Linked DNA regions of Macaca mulatta. The protein of the gene in region 3 interacts with the protein of the main gene of each other region in a biochemical or structural test. Links are inferred from orthologs where the notes say so. Each region holds a gene or a part of one and is shown on either strand. Other genes may lie near its edges.

The links. The genes of interacting proteins can lie anywhere in the genome.
Region 1: of the proteins of DCAF1 (region 3) and UNG, one has a biochemical effect on the other in vitro, tested with the Homo sapiens proteins (2 studies listed by BioGRID, with this or other methods). The link is inferred for Macaca mulatta from reciprocal best matches to the Homo sapiens genes DCAF1 and UNG.
Region 2: of the proteins of DCAF1 (region 3) and PPP2R1A, one has a biochemical effect on the other in vitro, tested with the Homo sapiens proteins (2 studies listed by BioGRID, with this or other methods). The link is inferred for Macaca mulatta from reciprocal best matches to the Homo sapiens genes DCAF1 and PPP2R1A.
Region 4: the proteins of DCAF1 (region 3) and NF2 form a complex in vitro, tested with the Homo sapiens proteins (3 studies listed by BioGRID, with this or other methods). The link is inferred for Macaca mulatta from reciprocal best matches to the Homo sapiens genes DCAF1 and NF2.

What each region holds. Positions count from the first base shown.
Region 1 is NC_133416.1:116,230,277-116,234,379, reverse strand, and holds the start of UNG (uracil-DNA glycosylase), read right to left. Parts: upstream 2,818-4,103; 5' UTR 2,726-2,817; coding exon 2,594-2,725; intron 2,273-2,593; exon of another isoform or gene 2,085-2,272; coding exon of another isoform or gene 1,980-2,084; coding exon 1,773-1,979; intron 897-1,772; coding exon 801-896; intron 1-800. UniProt on the Homo sapiens protein: Uracil-DNA glycosylase that hydrolyzes the N-glycosidic bond between uracil and deoxyribose in single- and double-stranded DNA (ssDNA and dsDNA) to release a free uracil residue and form an abasic (apurinic/apyrimidinic; AP) site.
Region 2 is NC_133424.1:64,384,426-64,388,654, reverse strand, and holds the start of PPP2R1A (serine/threonine-protein phosphatase 2A 65 kDa regulatory subunit A alpha isoform), read right to left. Parts: upstream 2,818-4,229; 5' UTR 2,743-2,817; coding exon 2,665-2,742; intron 2,653-2,664; exon of another isoform or gene 552-2,652; intron 1-551. UniProt on the Homo sapiens protein: The PR65 subunit of protein phosphatase 2A serves as a scaffolding molecule to coordinate the assembly of the catalytic subunit and a variable regulatory B subunit.
Region 3 is NC_133407.1:114,967,529-114,971,640, forward strand, and holds the start of DCAF1 (DDB1- and CUL4-associated factor 1), read right to left. Parts: upstream 2,803-4,112; 5' UTR 2,662-2,802; intron 246-2,661; 5' UTR 199-245; intron 1-198. UniProt on the Homo sapiens protein: Acts both as a substrate recognition component of E3 ubiquitin-protein ligase complexes and as an atypical serine/threonine-protein kinase, playing key roles in various processes such as cell cycle, telomerase regulation and histone modification.
Region 4 is NC_133415.1:21,951,960-21,956,295, reverse strand, and holds the start of NF2 (merlin), read left to right. Parts: upstream 1-1,519; 5' UTR 1,520-1,886; coding exon 1,887-2,000; intron 2,001-4,336. UniProt on the Homo sapiens protein: Probable regulator of the Hippo/SWH (Sav/Wts/Hpo) signaling pathway, a signaling pathway that plays a pivotal role in tumor suppression by restricting proliferation and promoting apoptosis.

The sequences.
Region 1 (4,103 bases), on a different chromosome or scaffold from region 3:
TTTGTTTTTGTTTTTTGAGACAGGGTCTGCCTCTGTCCCCTAGGCTGGAGTGCAGTGGTATGATCTCGGCTCACTGCAACCTCCGCCTTCTGGGCTCACGCGATTCTCCCACCTCAGCCTCCCAAGTAGCTGGGATTACAGGCATGCGCCACCATGCCTGGCTAATTTTGGTATTTTAGGAGACACCAGGTTTCATTGGCCAGGCTGGTCTTGAACTCCTGACCTCAAATGATCCTCCCACTTTGGCCTCCCAAAGTGCTGGGATTACAGGCATGAGCCACTGTGCCCAGCCCCACGGACTTTTGAACATGAGATGGACAAGAGCTGCCAACCAGCAACTGTTATATAAGACAAACTAAAGCAAAGGGATCTGTTAACAGAACCACAAAACTATTCAGGCCAGAAAATCAAGAGCTTGAAAGTGCTAACTATAAGGCAGTGTGGTCAGGTCAAGGTGGGGTTGACTATAACAAGCTGCAAAAGATTTAACTGCTTTGTGTGTCAGTCTGAACTTCATCACCACCATAGTATCTAACACTGAGGGAGGTTAGTTTCAGGATTTAAAAAAAATACAAGAAATAAGAGCACAGGATGTACATAGTTCTCCTTTTTGCCGCATAAATAGCATGTGGTAAACATTAAAAAGAGTAAATACAGGCTGAAACACAGTCAGCCAAACCTCACAATTTCAGTGTTTTATTTACTACTGAATGATGGACTGTGGCTTAACTCCAGTGTCCCTAATTTAAAAATACTAGTTGACTCCTTCTCCCCAATAAAAATCATCAAGTTGTACTTACATCTCTTATGTCACACATCTGGGTCCAGGTGAAGACTTGGTGTGAGGGTGGATAAACAGTGTAATGCTTTCTTTCTTCTGCAACAAATCCCATTAGCTGATTTAAAGATAAACTAGACTTAAAATCAGATTCTCACTGGAGGCCATAAGAATTAAACAAGAAAGCTTCTAGTGCAAGTTATTTGGAACATCATTAGTTCTTTGTCGTGTTTTATGTCCAAATTCTTTTAAAAAAACAACCAACAAGGCCGGGCGCGGTGGCTCAAGCCTGTAATCCCAGCACTTTGCGAGGCCGAGACGAGCGGATCACGAGGTCAGGAGATCAAGACCATCCGGGCTAACACGGTGAAACCCCATCTCTACTAAAAATACAAAAAATTAGCCGGGCGAGGTGGCGGGCGCCTGTAGTCCCAGCTACTCGGGAGGCTGAGGCAGGAGAATGGCGTAAACCCGGGAGGCGGAGCTTGCAGTGAGCTGAGATCAGGCCACTGTACTCCAGCCTGGGTGACAGAGCGAGACTCCGTCTCAAAAATAAAAAAACAAAAAAAAACCATCACCAACAAAAACAGTGCCTGCCTGCCCCCCGCTCCCCCAAGTGGTTCAATCAGGCCAATTCCCTGCCTTTTTTTCTGGGCTGGGTCCTAACAGTGCCACTCCTCCCGGCTTTTTAAAGTTCAAGCCAGGTTTCATTCAGGATGGTTGGTGGTTTTACTATGCCAGCCTTTCCTGGACAATAGACTATGTGACTTAAATGAATCCATGATACCATCTCACGGGTCGTTAGCAACTTTAACCAATATAAAGGTGCAGACTGAAACATCATGGCTTTCTTTTACCCCCTTTGTGAGTAAAGGACGTTGAAGGGAGTACAACCTAAGCCTATGGAAACATGAACTTCGCCGGCCGCAGTAACAAGACAAAGGGCCGGAAGCCTCCACATTTACCCTTATGGAAGATGCATTTCCATATTTACCTTGATAAAATACGGTTTTCCGAACTCCCCGCTGAGGTGCTTCTTCCAGCTCTCCCCAAAGCCCACGGGCACGTTGCGGGCCGCAAGTCTGAGCAGGGCCGCGGCCTTGTTCCTCTGGATCCGGTCCAACTGCTCAGCACTCAGCGGCGAGGAGGGCGGCGTCCCGGGCTCCTCCTGCGCGGCCGGGGCCTTCTTGGGGGGGTTGGCCTGCAAGGGGTCCCCGCAGAGGCGGCTCAAGAGCTGCAGAGGCCGCTTCCCAGGAGTCCGCAGCTTCTGGCCCAACCCCCACGGCCCAAGGCAGAAGACGCCCATTAGTGGAGCAGGTCGCAGCAAAATCGGACAATAGGAGCCCAGGACTGGGCCCAGTCCGGGAATTGGGAATTAGATTCTAAACCGGAGCGGGGAGTGGGGCTGGGAAGCGGCCCCGCGGAGCATCAAGGAGACTGCGGACCCAGTACCGAGGTGCCCCGCCCCGCCAGACCCGCCCCCCACAGCCCCACGTGGCCTTTTCGCGGCAAAAAAACTCCCTCTGGGGTCCCGCCCCCTCTCCCCTCTGACTGGACAGCGCACCGAGCCAGGCGGGCCTGCGGCGCGCGGATTGGCACCATGGGCGCCGAGGCGCGTCCCCATTGGCTGATCCCTCAGCATGGCGGCCCATGGGGGACAGCGGCGGCTGTTTTGAACACGTGGAGGCTATTTGGAAAGCGGGGCCCCGGTTTACCGAGTTAAGAGGCGCGCTGCTGCACGCCCTCAGTCAGGCGGGACCCACCGCCTTCCTCCCTCTTTACCCCCCCAAGTCCCGGCCCCACGCCGCGCCTCACCGCCGCATCTCTGTTCTCCTCAGGCACGGCCGCCACGCCAGTCCCCAGGACGGCCGGCTCGGGGCTGGGGGCGCGTCGCTTCCTGGCGGGGCTAGGGGAGAAGAAGGAGTAGAGCGTCTTCTGGCCGATCATCCCGGAGCCGAGGCAGCGAACGCGCACCACCCGGGAACCTGCGAGGCTGGCCCTGGCTGTGGCGGTCAGCAATTGGCGCCAAGCGGCCCGCGCATGCTCCGAGCGGGGGGCTTTGCTGGGGGCGGGGGGCGGGGGGCGGTGGAAGGCCCAGTGCGCATGTGCGGGAGGGGCTGGAGTGCAATGCCCCTGGGAGGAGGTGGGGCGTGCAACGGTGCCCGCGGGCCTATTCATTCATGCCCTCGACCCACCTCTGCCCTTTGGAAAGGCTCTCCAGGCTCAGCTGCAAGACGAAAAGACTGGCCGGCCGCGGTGGCCCACGCCTGTAATCCTAGCGCTTTGGGAGGCTCAGGCGGGAGGATCGCTTGAGGCCAGAAGGTTGGAGCTGTAGTGAGCTTTGATCGCGCCATTGCACTCCAGCCTGGGCGACAGAGCGAGACCCTGTCTCTGGGGATAGGAGGGAAAAAAAGTACCTGGCCCTTAAGGGTGTTGTTGGAGTGCAATGAACAATATAATAGTATTGTCCGGGCTTGACGGCTCACGTCTGTAATCCCAGCACTGTAATCCGAGGCGTCTCAAAAACAGAAACAAACAAATACTATTATATTTTTTGTGTGTGTTTTGTTTTTGAGACAGTCTCGCTCTGTCACCCAGGCTGGAGTGCAGTGGTGTGATCTTGGCTGACTGCAACCTCTGCCTCCCCAATTCAAGTGATTCTCGTGCCTCAGCCTCCCCAGTAGCTGAGATTACAGGCGCACGCCGGCTGAGTTTTGTATTTTTTAGTAGAGACAGGGTTTCACCATGTTGGCCAGTCTGGTCTCAAACTCCTGACCTCAGATGATCTGCCCACCTCGGCCTCCCGAAGTGCTGGGATTACAGGCGTGAGCCACGATGCCCTGCCAATAGTATTTGTTGAACTGTTACATACATTATCTCACGCAATTTTCATGGCCTATTTTATGACAATAAACTAAGGCTTAGCACAAACATTTTGCCTAATGTATCAGGCTTGTGGGAGACTTTCGAGTCACAGAGGTTAAACCCCAATGATTTGTCCTCCAAATGACACCACTGTACAGCACCTCCTCCCCACCACTACTAATATGCTTAGGATTCTCTTTCCTTCCCTTACATCCAAACCATCCATATCTCCTTTTGGTTCTTTCTCCAAAGAAAATCTCAAATTCAACTGCTGCTCTTGCATTTCCTGGCTACAGAAGACCAGATGGGAAGCTGGTGTTCTCTTTTCTAGAGAGAGATTTTTACATCATGACAATACTCTGGGCCTGGCCCAGCTCGGTGGCTCACGCCTGTAATCCCAGCACTTTGGGAAGCCTACAGGGGCTTATTGCTTGAGCACAGGAGTTTGAGACCAGCCTGG
Region 2 (4,229 bases), on a different chromosome or scaffold from region 3:
TGGCTCACACCTGTAATTCCAGCACTGTGGGAGGCTGAGGCAGGAGGATCACCTGAGATCAGGAGTCTGAGACCAGCCTGGCCAACACGGGGAAACCCAGTCTCTTCTAAAAACACACACCCAAAAATTAGCCAGGGGTGGTGGCCTGGGCCTGTAGTCCCAGCTACTCAGGAGACTGAGGTGGGAGAATTGCTTGAACCCGGGAGACAGAGGTTGCAGTGAGCCGAGATCACGTCAGTGCACTCCAGCCTGGGCAACAGAGTGAGACTCCATCTCAAAAAACAAAACAAAACAACAACAACAAAAAACTATGGCCATATCTGTTCCCTCTTCCTGGGCAGCTCTTTCCCACCTTCTTTCCATCTCTTCTTAAATTCTGCATCCTCAGAGGGGCCTTGCCTGATTGGCCTACTTAAAATGGATCTGCCCCACCCCACTTTGTACTTGCTGTGCCCTCTGCCTTTAGGTGTGTTCTCAAACTTGATCTCAACAAGGCCTCCCCTCACCACACTTTAAAACTGCATCCCCCAGGCCGGGCACAGTGGGATTACATGCCTGTAATCCCAGCACTTTGGGAGGTCAAGGTGGGTGGATTACCTGAGGTCGGGAATTTGAGACCAGCCTGACCAACACGGAGAAACCCCATCTCTACTAAAAATACAAAATTAGTTGGGAGTGGTGGCACATGCCTGTAATCCCAGCTACTTGGGAGGCCGAGGCAGGAGAATCGTTTGAACCCGGGAGGCAGAGGTTGCAGTGAGACAAGATCACGCCACTGCACTCCAGCCTGGGCAACAAGAGTGAAACTCCGTCTCAAAAACAAACAAAAAAAACCCCTGCATCCCCCATCTCTCTTATTTTTATTTATCTCCCTACTGCTTATCTCCAGTATACTCTGTTTATTATCTCTCCTCACTGCAAAGTAAACTCCCCTACTGCATGCCAGTGCTTATAACAGTGACCTGCACAGAATAGAAGGCCAATTCAATATGGATTCACTGCCACAACATCCTGTTTGTTTCCTTCCCATCACTTTTCACACACTCTGTTGACCTGTTTCACACCTGAATCCTGTATAGCAACTGGTGTCTCCACTATATCCCCAGCATCATACCTGATACATGGCACGTGTTTACTGAACAAAAGAATTCATACAACTGCCCTACGAACTAGGTAATTATCCCCATAAAAGAGAAGAGGAAATAGGCTTAGAGAGATTAACTAACTTGCGCATGTCAATCAGTGAGAAGTGGAAGGGCCAGGAATACAACCACAGCCGGTCTGCCCCCAGAAACAGTGATATACCAGGAACCTAGGAGGCGGGACCCACGTTTGGCAGGTTACCCAGTGCACCTTGTTCAATTTTATAAATGCGAAAACTGAGACCTAAAGGGAGGATAGGACCTCTTTAATCACCACTCCCAATAATCACAGTTAATATGTATCAGGCCCTTACAACAGGTCTGACACCATTCGACTTTTTATTTGTGCCATAATTCGTTCAGTCCCTCACAAGTCCCTCCAGCAAGACCAGGACTACAATTAGCCCATATTTTATGGAACACGGAGGCCCAAAGCGGTGAAGTAATTTGCACAAGGTCACACAGCGGGTGGCAGCCCTGCTCAGAGCCTTGGGCCACCGCATCCCATAACCAGGAATGTTCATCCGGGCTGGGCGCCGTGGCTCACGCCTGTAATTCCAACACTTTGGGAGGCCGAGGCGGGTGGATCGCTTGAGGTCAGGAGTTCCAGACCAAGCCTGGCCAACATGGCGAAACCCGTCTCTACTAAAAACACAAAAATTAGATGGGCATGGTGGCTCGCGCCGGTAATCTGAGCTACTTAGGGGGCTGAGATGCGAGGATCGTTTGAACCCGGGACGCAGAGGTTGCACTGAGCCAAGATCGCGCCACTGCACCCCAGCCTGGGCGACACAGGGGCTGTCTCAAAGAAAGAAAGAATGAAATGTTCATCCACTTAGCAAATCCTTCACCCCCTATCCTGATCAATGGGAGGATCTGGGGAGATGGGGAAGCGGGTTTCTACAACGTAATTCGTTCTTCAATTTGGCTAGTCCCCACCTTTGGTGGGGGGGGGGGTGTTTTTGCGTCCCCGTCCTCTCAGGACACCTAAACCAAAATGAGACGTGGAGAAAGAGCAGGAATTGGGATGGCAGGCCTTCGCCTCTCGGTCCCCACTTGGGCCAGCAGTCGAAACCCAGAAAAGAAAAAAACCTTCCCAGGTCCTGACCCATCAGGCGGCTCTCCCCCACTCGGAGCAAGTCACGAGCGCCCCACATCTCCAAGGGGCCATTCAGAGGCCGCCGCCAATCACGGAGCCCTCCTCTCTCCCGGACCCAGTCCGCCGACCCCAGCCCTGGCCGCAACCTCCCAGGACCGCGGATCGCGGACCGCGGACCGCCGCGCGCACTGAGCAGGCCCGGGACCCTCGAGGCTAGCGCAGGCCCCCGCCCTTCACTGGGCCAACACCCAATCGAGGGCGCCGTCTCAATGAGTCCGGGCACCCGGGGAGATAAGAGACGCACGTTGATTGGCCGCCGCCCCTTCCGCCACTCCCAGCGAACGCTGAGTCTTCTCCGCGAGGGCTGCCCATGCCCCCAGGTACCCCTCCCCGTCTTCCCCAAGTCCCCCGTAGCCTCCGTACCTGAACGTCCTCGTTGCGGAGTTCGTCTATGAGCACAGCGATGGGGTACAGCGAGTCGTCGCCGTCGGCCGCCGCCATCTTGGCTCTGTCCCGTTCCTGTCAGACTGCGGCCAGCGCTCTGCTGAAACGGGGGGGCAGAGCTGGGAGGAGGAGGAAAAGCACGCGTGGGGGCGCCCGAACCAGTTTACAGGGGCTGCTCCACGGCCATTGGCCGCGCTACGCCGGCCTAAACCCGCGTTTCTTTGGTCCGGACTAGTGAAGTCCCGCCCACTTCCCATTTGCCATTGGTCGAGTGAACGAGATTTGACTAGTTTGAGCCTAGGGGAGGGGGAAGAAAAGCGGAAGTCAGCCGTGTCCTAGCGACCAAGATTGAACCCGCCTTCGTCGCTGCTAACAACGACCGGGACGAGCAGTTGTTTCTAGCCAATGAGGGGCGATATGGGGAGGACGCTAAGCCTGACCTTTGGTGGGTCCCGGGGATGGTTTCTGCGCGTGCGTAAGTGGTAATACGTGACGTCATGTGGGGAGCGGGAGGGTGTGCAGGTTTTGGGTTACCAGGCCATGGTTCCGCTGGCTGGCAGGCTGGCTCCCCGCGCCTTTGCGCGGCCGGAGGAGGGAGTGAGACTTTTATTTGTGTTTGATTTATGCCAAGGCCCAGAGAAGGGAGCGGCTTGCCCTGCTGTCTCTCTTTTTCTTTTTCTTTCTTTTTTTTTTTGCCTTTTTAAAGACAGGGTCTCGCTCTGTTCCCCATGCTGGAGTGCAGTGGCGCGATCTTGGCTCACTGCCGCCTGGACCTCCCCGGGCTCAAACGATCCTCAGGCCTCAGTCTGCAGAAATAGCTGGGATTATAGGCTCGCGCCGCTAGGCCCGGCCAGTTTTTTAAAGAATTTTTGTGGAGACGGAGTCACTGTGTTGAGCTCAGTTGCCTTGCTCTTTGGATGAAACCCAAGTTCCTCGGGCCGGTATTCAATACCTTGTCTAGGCGCGTCTCCCGCCTCCGTTTTTTACCTTTTGTCTGATGTCCTGGAAAATCAGAGCTGCCTGAGCACATCTTGCGTTTTCGTGCCAGCAAGCCTCCTTGCCCAAGCTGTACGTTCTGCCTTTCTTATTCACTTCTCAGATCTCTGCGTAAATGCTCTTGTTCTCTAGGCTTCCAGAGCCACCAGAACCTCTCTCTCTGTCTCTCCAATCCCATCTATGTGTCTCAATCCCAGAGCCTGGGCTGTGACTATGCATTCGAATCTGTTTCCTCCATAGAGTGGGAGCAGGATTGGATCTGACTAATCTCTGTTTTTAACCTCTTCAACAAAGCCCCACCCCCACCGCAATCTTAGGACCACTCTGAGGGAGTTGGATGGGGATGGTAAGGCCTGGGATGCTCTCTCTTCCTTTATTCTACTACTTGAAGTGCTGGGCTGAGCTAGCACTCTGGCAGCTCTGAATACCCACAGCATCTATTTTTTCTTTCCTTCTTTCTTTTTCTTTCTTTCTTTTCTCCTTCTTCTTCTTCTTTTTTTTTTTTTTTTTTTTTTTTGAGACGGAGGCTCGCTCTGTCGCCCAGGCTA
Region 3 (4,112 bases):
TAGTTACCAATTAGTGAATATCTAGTATGGAACAGACATTGAGTAAGTAATTTACTATACTTACATTATTCTGAATTTTCACAACCATCCTACCCTTTTTTACACATGAGGAAACAAGCTCCGAGAGGTCCCCAAGACCAGCTAGTACTAGGTAGAAAAAGTATTTCAAGGATTCAAATCCCAATTCTGCTGACATACCTGTGAAGTCTTGGTTATTTAACTTCTCCAAATCTCAATTTCCTTATCTGTAAGATGGAAACAGTTGTTGTGCGGGGTTAAATGACAATATTGTCCCCATGGTGGGATAATACAAAGCCTCAAGAAATACTTATGTAAAATTTCCTTATCCTAACAAGTGTCTGCTAGCGTAGTCCACAAAATAAATATATAGATACCACACACAAAAACAGAAAAAATATGGCATAATATTAACAATTGTTTGCCGGGCACAATGGCTCATGCCTGTAATCCTAGCACTTTGGGAGACTGAAGTGGGTGGATTACTTGAGGCCAAAGTTCAAGACCAGACTGGCCAAAATGGCAAATCCGCATCTCTACTAAAAATAAAAAAATTAGCCAGGCGTGGTAGCACACACCTGTAATCCCTAGCTACTCCAGAGGCTGAGGCATGAGAATCACTTGAACCCGGGAGGCGGAGGTTGCAGTGAGCGGAGATCATGCCACTGCACTCCAGCCTGGGCAACAGGGCAAGACTCCGTCTCAAAAAAAAAAAAAAAATTAAAAACTTGCCAGGCACAGTGGCTCAAGCCTGTAATCCCAACACTTTGGGAGGCCAAGTCGGGAGGATTACTTGAGGTCAGTTGGGCAACATTTCGAGACACAGTCTACACAAAAATTTAAAAATTACCCAATCATGGTAGACTGTGCCTGCAGTCCTAGTTACTCAGGAGGCTGAGGCAGCAGGCTCCTTTGAGTCCAGGAGTTAGAGGCTGCAATGAGTTATGATCACACTCGAGACCATCCTGGCTAACACACTGAAACCCTGTCTCTACAAAAAATTAGCCGGGCGTGATGTCAGGCGTCTGTAATCTCAGCTACTCAGGAGACTGAGGCAGGAGAATGGCGTGAACCTAGGAGGCGGAGCTTGCAGTGAGCCGAGATCGCATCACTGCACTCCAGCCTGGGTGACAGAGCGAGACTCTGTCTCAAAAAAAAAAAAAAAAGGGTTATGATCACACCACTGCACTCCAGCCTAGGCTACAGAGCAAGATCCTGTATCTAAAAAAAAAACAGTCCAGGTGTAGTGGCTCGTGCCTGTAATTCCAACACTTTGGGAGGTTGACAAGGGAGGATCACTTGAGTTCCAGACCAGCCTGGGCAACACAGTAAGACTACTGTCTCTACAAAAAATAAATGAATAAAAATAAAAAATTTAAAAACTGTATAATAGGCAGAACAGTAAAACACTGTACTCAGCAACTACCCAAGAGGTACTGAGCAAAAAATGATTTCCCTACATTCCCCAAATTCTCTATTATCTCAACATCCAAAAATATATACCTACTCAAAAATGGGTAATGAATAACTGCTATATAGAAAACCCAAATGTTCACATCATTAAGAAAAATACTAAATCGATTCCTAAAGTCTACATTTACACACATAAACATTAAAGGTAAACTCCAGTAAGCTGGAAAAAGAAAATGAAGGATATTACCAATTAACCTCTCATTCTGTACATTAACAATGCATTTTGAACAGGAAGATGCTACTAACATAAAAAATTAAAACGTGTAAAGACTAATTAAAAGGCTTCATCGAAAAAACAGGGTAAGGAAAAACTGAGACCAACATGACGTGGCCAAGGACAAGTCATTTCTGACTCAAAAATAACTAATACAAACACTCCAAAACTATTTCCTCAACAAATGGAAAACCAGAGCGCTGCCACTGCAGTAAGAGGAAGCCAGACAGAAAACCGTCTAGGAAGTGAAGTTGTGAAGCAAACGCTTCTGAAACCCCAGTTGAAAACTACTATAACCCCCGGAAACAGACTCCCGGGAAGTTTGGCGGGCACTCTGAGGTTTGACTCCAGGCTGCGGGACCCGCACACCTCTTTCCAACCCTTCCCTTCTTCATGGGGATGAGAGGAGTGACCAGAAAGCTCCGCCCCCGTCGCAAGGTCCAAGAGCCGGGCGGGTGCAGGGAGAGGTGGCACGAGGCCGAGAGACTGGAGAGCCCGCCCAGGTGACTGGAGCTGGAGGCGGAGACACAGTCCGTGAAGGGGCCCGCCGTATAGTACGGAAGATGGAGCCCCCCCAAGCCCGTACGGAACAGAGACTAGAAAGATTGGAAGGGAAAAGATGACAAGGGATATGACATGCGCCCCTCCCTCCAGGTAGGGGCTGACACACCCCGCCCCCCCACTCCGGGCGGAAGAGTTACTCTCGGGAAGCTTCTCGTGGGGAGTGGAGGAAGAACGTGGAGGCCCCGCCCCCGGGACAAGAATCAGGAGGAGGAAAAGTCCTGTCAGGCCCCGGGCCCAGCCTCCCGGCTGACCGGCCCGCCCCCTCCTCGCCGGCGGCCCAAGCAGGTGCCGCCCCTCCCCCAGCCCGGCGCCCACTCTGCCGCCCGGCCAGCCACGCGCCCTGCCTCCTCGCGCCCCTCCCGTAGAGTCGCCTCCCTCCATTTCCCACTCACCGTCCGAGGCGGCTCCGCCACTGCCCCCCCGCGACCCCGCCAGTGGCCACAGTTCACACACACAGCCTCAGGTCCCGCACTCACTCTTCACTCACATACACACACAGCGCGACCACGGCTCCACAGCGGCCCACATATTATGCGTCACTCGCGCGCTACGTGCACCGCGCGCGCGGGCGCGCGCGCCTACTTGGCGCGAGGACAGTGAGCAAGGGGCGGGAGGAGAACGCCTGCACGATCCGAGGAAAATCGAAGAGCCCCGGGGACGCCTGGGAAATGAAGTTCCGCGTCTAGGGGCGGGCCCACCAGTCCCAATTGACGCATGAGCTCTTCGCCCCGCGCATTGACTTCTGGATTTGTAGTTTTTTTGGATAAATGCGAACTGCTGAGTACTCATTGGCTGCTTCGGAAAGCGGAAGTGAAAAGTGAGGGAGTCAATCCTTCCAAGACAGTACTATAATCGCCTGATGCTTTAGTGTCTTGTTCTGACCTGTGTGCGCAAAGAGCCTCTGTTTTATTCGGCTATTTGCCTCATCTTACCTAGAACATACCGTGATCTAAGAAAATATTTTCTCATAAACATATCAGAAATCACAGCACTCATTAAAACAGAAGGCACTAGTTGTTTTTTATGTGTTTGTTTTGAGACAGAGCCTCGCTCTGTTGCCCAGGCTGGAGTGCAGTGACGATCTCAGCTCACTGCGACCTCCGCCTCCCGGGCTCAAACAGTCCTCCCACCTCAGCCTCCAGCTGAGACTACAGGTGCATGCCACGACACCCAGTTAATTTTTGTTTTTGTTTTGTGTGTGTGTATTTGGTAGAGACATGGTTTCACCATATTGGCCAGTCTGGTCTCGAACTCCTGGGCTGAAGCGGTCCACCCACCGGGGCCTCCCAGCCTCTTTGTTCTCCGTCTTTTTTTTTTGAGACAGAGCCTCGCTCTGTCACCCACGCTGGGGTGCAATGGCGCAATCACAGCTCACTACAGCCTCAACCTCCTGGGCTCGAGCTGTCTTCCCACTTCAGTCTCCCAAGTAGCTGGGACTACGGGTGTGCACCACCACACCCAGCTAATTTTTTAAAATTTTTGTAGAGACGGAGTCCCACTGTGTTGTCCAGGTTGGTCTTGAATTTCTAGGCTCAAGTGATTCTCCTGCCTCAGTCCCTCAAAGTGTTGGGATTACAGGTATGAGCCACTGCGCCCAGCCTCTCTTTTTGTTCAAGACCTAGCCTGTAGGAATCAATAGATACTTATTGCCAGGTATTATACGTGAGGCAGAGAAGTGAAAAATCAAAAGCTCATAGATTGAGGCAGGACTGACCTCACAGGTCACTTAATTCAATTTCTTCATGTTATTGGGAAAAATGAGGCCCAGAGGGAGTGAGTGACTTGCCCAGCATCACACAACCAATTAGCAGAACCAGAAGACTCCTTACTCCGACCAGCGGTC
Region 4 (4,336 bases), on a different chromosome or scaffold from region 3:
AGGCCAAGGTGGGCAGATCACCTGAGGTCGAAGTTCGAGACCAGCCTGGCCAACATGGTAAAACCCCGTTCCTACTAAAAATACAAAAATTAGCCGGGCGTGGTGGTGGTGGGGGGCGCCTGTAATCCCAGCTACTGGGGAGGTTGAGGCAGGATAATCGCTTGGACCTGGGAGGCGGAGGTTGCAGTGAGCCGAGACAGCCCCATTGCACTCCAGCCTGGGCAACAAGAGCAAAACTGTCTCAAAACGAAAAACAAAAGAAAAAACACAGTAAATTGTCTCTATTTGACTACTAAGAGCTATTTTAAAATAGAATTTATCTAAGTACAGTAAGGTATAATTATCCCCCTACACCCGTTATAACCCTTGATGACACTAAATAAATAATACACGAATATGGTTCAAAAATGGGCATCGTAGAGTATAAAATGAAGAATGCTTTCATTTTCCACCCAAATTCAGCAATTTCATAGGATGCCAGGCTCCATTCTAAAGCCTTGTATGTATTCAGTGCGCTGAAATTCAACAACCTCACGAGGTAGGTATAACCATTAATATTAATTCTAGGCGGGGCGTGGTGGCTCACGCCTGTAATCCCAGCACTTCGGGAGGCCGAGGCGGGCGGATCACCTGAGGTGGGTAGTTCGAGACCAACCTGACGAACATGGAGAAACCCCGTCTCTACTAAAAATACAAAATTAGCCGGGCGTGGTGGCGCATGCCTGTTATCCCAGCTACTCGGGAGGCTGGCGCAGGAAAACCCGGGAGGCGGAGGTTGCAGTGAGCCGAGATCGCGCCATTGCACTCCAGCCTGGGCAACAACAACGAAACTCCGTCCCCCACCACTCCCCCCCAAAACATAATGATTCTAAAGGGAAGCAGAGGGATCTGGCGGAAAAGTGCCAGCAAATCTAACAGGCCTCCACAAGAGTCTTGAAAGTTTGAGAAGCTTAGGGGTCGCTATATGTGATTAACTGTCAAACAAGAATATTCGCCGGGTGTCCGAAACGCGATCCCCTGGGGCGCCACACTCGGAGCCTACTTGAACCCAAAGAGTCCCTCCCTGGGCCAACGAGGGACCCAATTCCCGCGCCCGGCACCCAGCCTCTACGTGGTTTCCTAGGAAAGGATAGCGGAGGTCCGCCGCCTCAACCAGTCTTGTTAGAGTGGCACAAAAGCGTTCGGAGTGACTGCCACTGTAGCCACTCAACGCCGAGCCCAGGCCTGCTTTTTTGCGGTTAGAGTGAAACTTTCCATTGGTGGAGTCACCCTGAAGGAGGCGGGACGGAGGGGGAAAGTCCTGCCTACCTTGGTCTTCCCAGCCAATCGCAGCATCCAGGTCGCAGAACCCAGGCGGTAGCCTCCGGTTCGGTTGCGCTGTGCGTAGTGGTCTGGGAGACCTGAGGGCGGGGCCGGGAGCAGGCCCCGGACTGCGGGGAGGGTACGCTTCCCGCGGGCGCGCGGAGTGAGGACGGTGACAGCCACGCGCGCGCATACGCGCCCGACTGCAGCGCGGCCCCGCGACCCTAGTCGGCAGCTGAGAGGCGCGCAGAATCTGGGCCGCTGCCGACTAGGGTTCCCGTCCCGAGGCGTCCCCGGCATCTCCGGCCTGAATCCCGGAGTGCCAGGTCGCGCCTGCACCGACGGTCCCGGCTCCCGTGCCCTCCCAGGAGCCGTCAGGGCCCGCCCCTCAACTCCCCTTTCCGCCCGGGCAGGGTCCTCGCGGCCCATGCTGGCCGCTGGGGACCCGCGCAGCCCAGACCGTTCCCGGGCCGGCCAGCCGGCCACCATGGTGGCCCTGAGGCCTGTGCAGCAACTCCAGGGGGGCTAAAGGGCTCAGAGTGCAGGCCTTGGGGCGCGAGGGTCCCGGGCCTGAGCCCCGAGCCATGGCTGGGGCCATCGCTTCCCGCATGAGCTTCAGCTCTCTTAAGAGGAAGCAACCCAAGACGTTCACCGTGCGGATCGTCACCATGGACGCCGAGATGGAGTTCAATTGCGAGGTAACCGGCCGGCAGCCCCGACTGCTGCGGTGACAGTCGAGGTGGAAACTCGAGAGGTTCTCTTTATATCATCTTAATGGGTGTAGCTAGAGACGGGCAGAACCGGAAGGGGCCAACTAGGCCCAAAACCTCATGTTAAAGATGATTGCTGCTTTTTTTCATAGGGCTTTTGGGTTTTAGCATTTCCTGAAGGTTATTTTCATTCATTGTTATTGGAAGAAGCTGGATGCTCCTGTGATAGAAAATTCCGGATTTCAGTGTCAGGCTTAAGTTAGGCTTACGCTTAAACGCTTGAAAGTTTATTCTTTCATTAGGTAATATTGTTATGTACCCAGGTATTAGAAGTTGCGTCTTGTTTATTGGAAAGCCAATACTTGTTTTCCTTTTCTAAAGCCTACATATTCTGGAAAAAAACCCTTTGAAGAACGATATAATATCTCATACTTACTTTCCACATAGTTTCCAACATGATGATTAACAGCTATCAATTGTTCAGTATTTTCAAAGTGCCAGACATTTGCACATTTAATCCTCAGAACAAACCCATTTATCTAGTAAATGGCAAGGTGGGGTTTTGAACTAAGCTCACAGCCAGTACAGTACTGCTTCTCAAGTAATTTAAGTTCTTGCTACTAAAGGTGTGGTTTGTGGACCAGCAGCATTGGCAGCAGTAACCAAGAGTTGGCAAGCTTTTTCTGTACAGGACCACATAGTAAATATTTTCAACTTTGTAGACTAGAGAATCTCTGTTGGAGCTATTCAGCTCTTCAGCTCTGTCATTGTAACACAAAAGCAGCCTTAGATAATATCAGCTTCCAGCTTGACAGCTTAAGGAACCCATTCCTCTGTAAAACTGGTGAAAATTCTTTTTTGTTTTGTTTCATTTTGAGACAGAGTCTCACTCTGCCACCCAGGCTGGCATGCAGTAGTGTGATCATGGCTCACTGCAACCCCCACCGACCTCTGTGGCTCAATCAGTCCTCCTGCCTTGGCCTCCTGAGTAACTGGGACCACAGGTGTGTGCACCACACCTGGCTAATTTTTTTTATTTTTTTTGAGACGTCTCGCTCTGTCACCCAGAGTGCACCGGGCTGGAGTGCAATGGCGCGATCTCGGCTCACTGCCAACTCCACCTCCCAGGTTCAAGCAGTTCTCTTGCTTCAGCCTTCCAGGTAGCTGGGATTACAGGCATGTGCCATCACGTCTGGCTAATTTTTCTATTTTTAGTAGAGACAGGGTTTCAACATATTGGGCAGGCTGATCTCGAACTCCTGACCTCATGACCAGCCCACCTGGGCCTCCCAAAGTGGTGGGAAAGTGGTGCTATTATAGGTGTGAGCCACCGCGCCCAGCCTCACCTAGCTAATTTTTGTAGAGACAAGGATTTTGCCATGTTGCCTAGGCTGATCTTGAACTCCTGACCTAAAGCAATCTGCTGGCCTTGGACTCCCAAAGTGATGGGATTACAGACGGAGCCACCATGTCTGGCCCAAAAATTCTTTTTTTAAAATCAACTATTTAAACCCTCCGGCAATGGTCCTGAGGGCAAACAACAAATGAAACACCTATTCAAGAAAATCTACAAATTCGGTAAGAAAGATGAGAGGATATGGTATTTGAACCAAGATCATTCCCTCCTTACCCACTCCTAGCTTAGTGAGGTAGAGCTTCTACTCCAGACTATTGCAAACTGAAACACGGGGCACCGCTCCCTCAGCTCCCAAATCAAATGCTTTCTTCCCAGGAAAAGCTGGACATCAGCATTTCTTATCATACCCAGAGCTACTTGTTGCTGAGGTTAAAACCTGTGTGAGTGCAATTGAAAGTTGGAGCTCCCTTTTTTTTTTCTTTTGAGACGGAGTTTTGCTCTTGTTGCCCAGGCTGGAGTGCAATGGTACGATCTCGCCTCACCGCAACCTCCGCCTCCCAGGTTCAAGCGATTCTCCCACCTTAGCCTCCCGAGTAGCTGGGATTGTAGGCTTGCCCCACCACGTCTGGCTGATTTTGTGTTTTTAGTAGAGATGGGTTTCTCCATGTTGGTCAGGCTGGTCTTGAACTCCTGACCTCAGGTGATCTGCCTGCCTCGGCCTCCCAAAGTGTTGGGATTACAGGCGTGAGCCACCGTGCTTGGCTAAAGTTGGAGCTCCCTTCTTCCACCTAGTCCCTACTTGTGGAACAGGATTGTACCTTGGGCATGGCATACTGAAACTACTGGCGCCCCAATTGCTCATCCACCAGTTCTAGCAGGCTGAGCCTCAGGTTGTTGCGGTCCCCTGCCTCCTTCCACCAAGTGCTCAGTTTCTAGAGTGCGGGTATCTCTCAGAAGCTTTCCATGC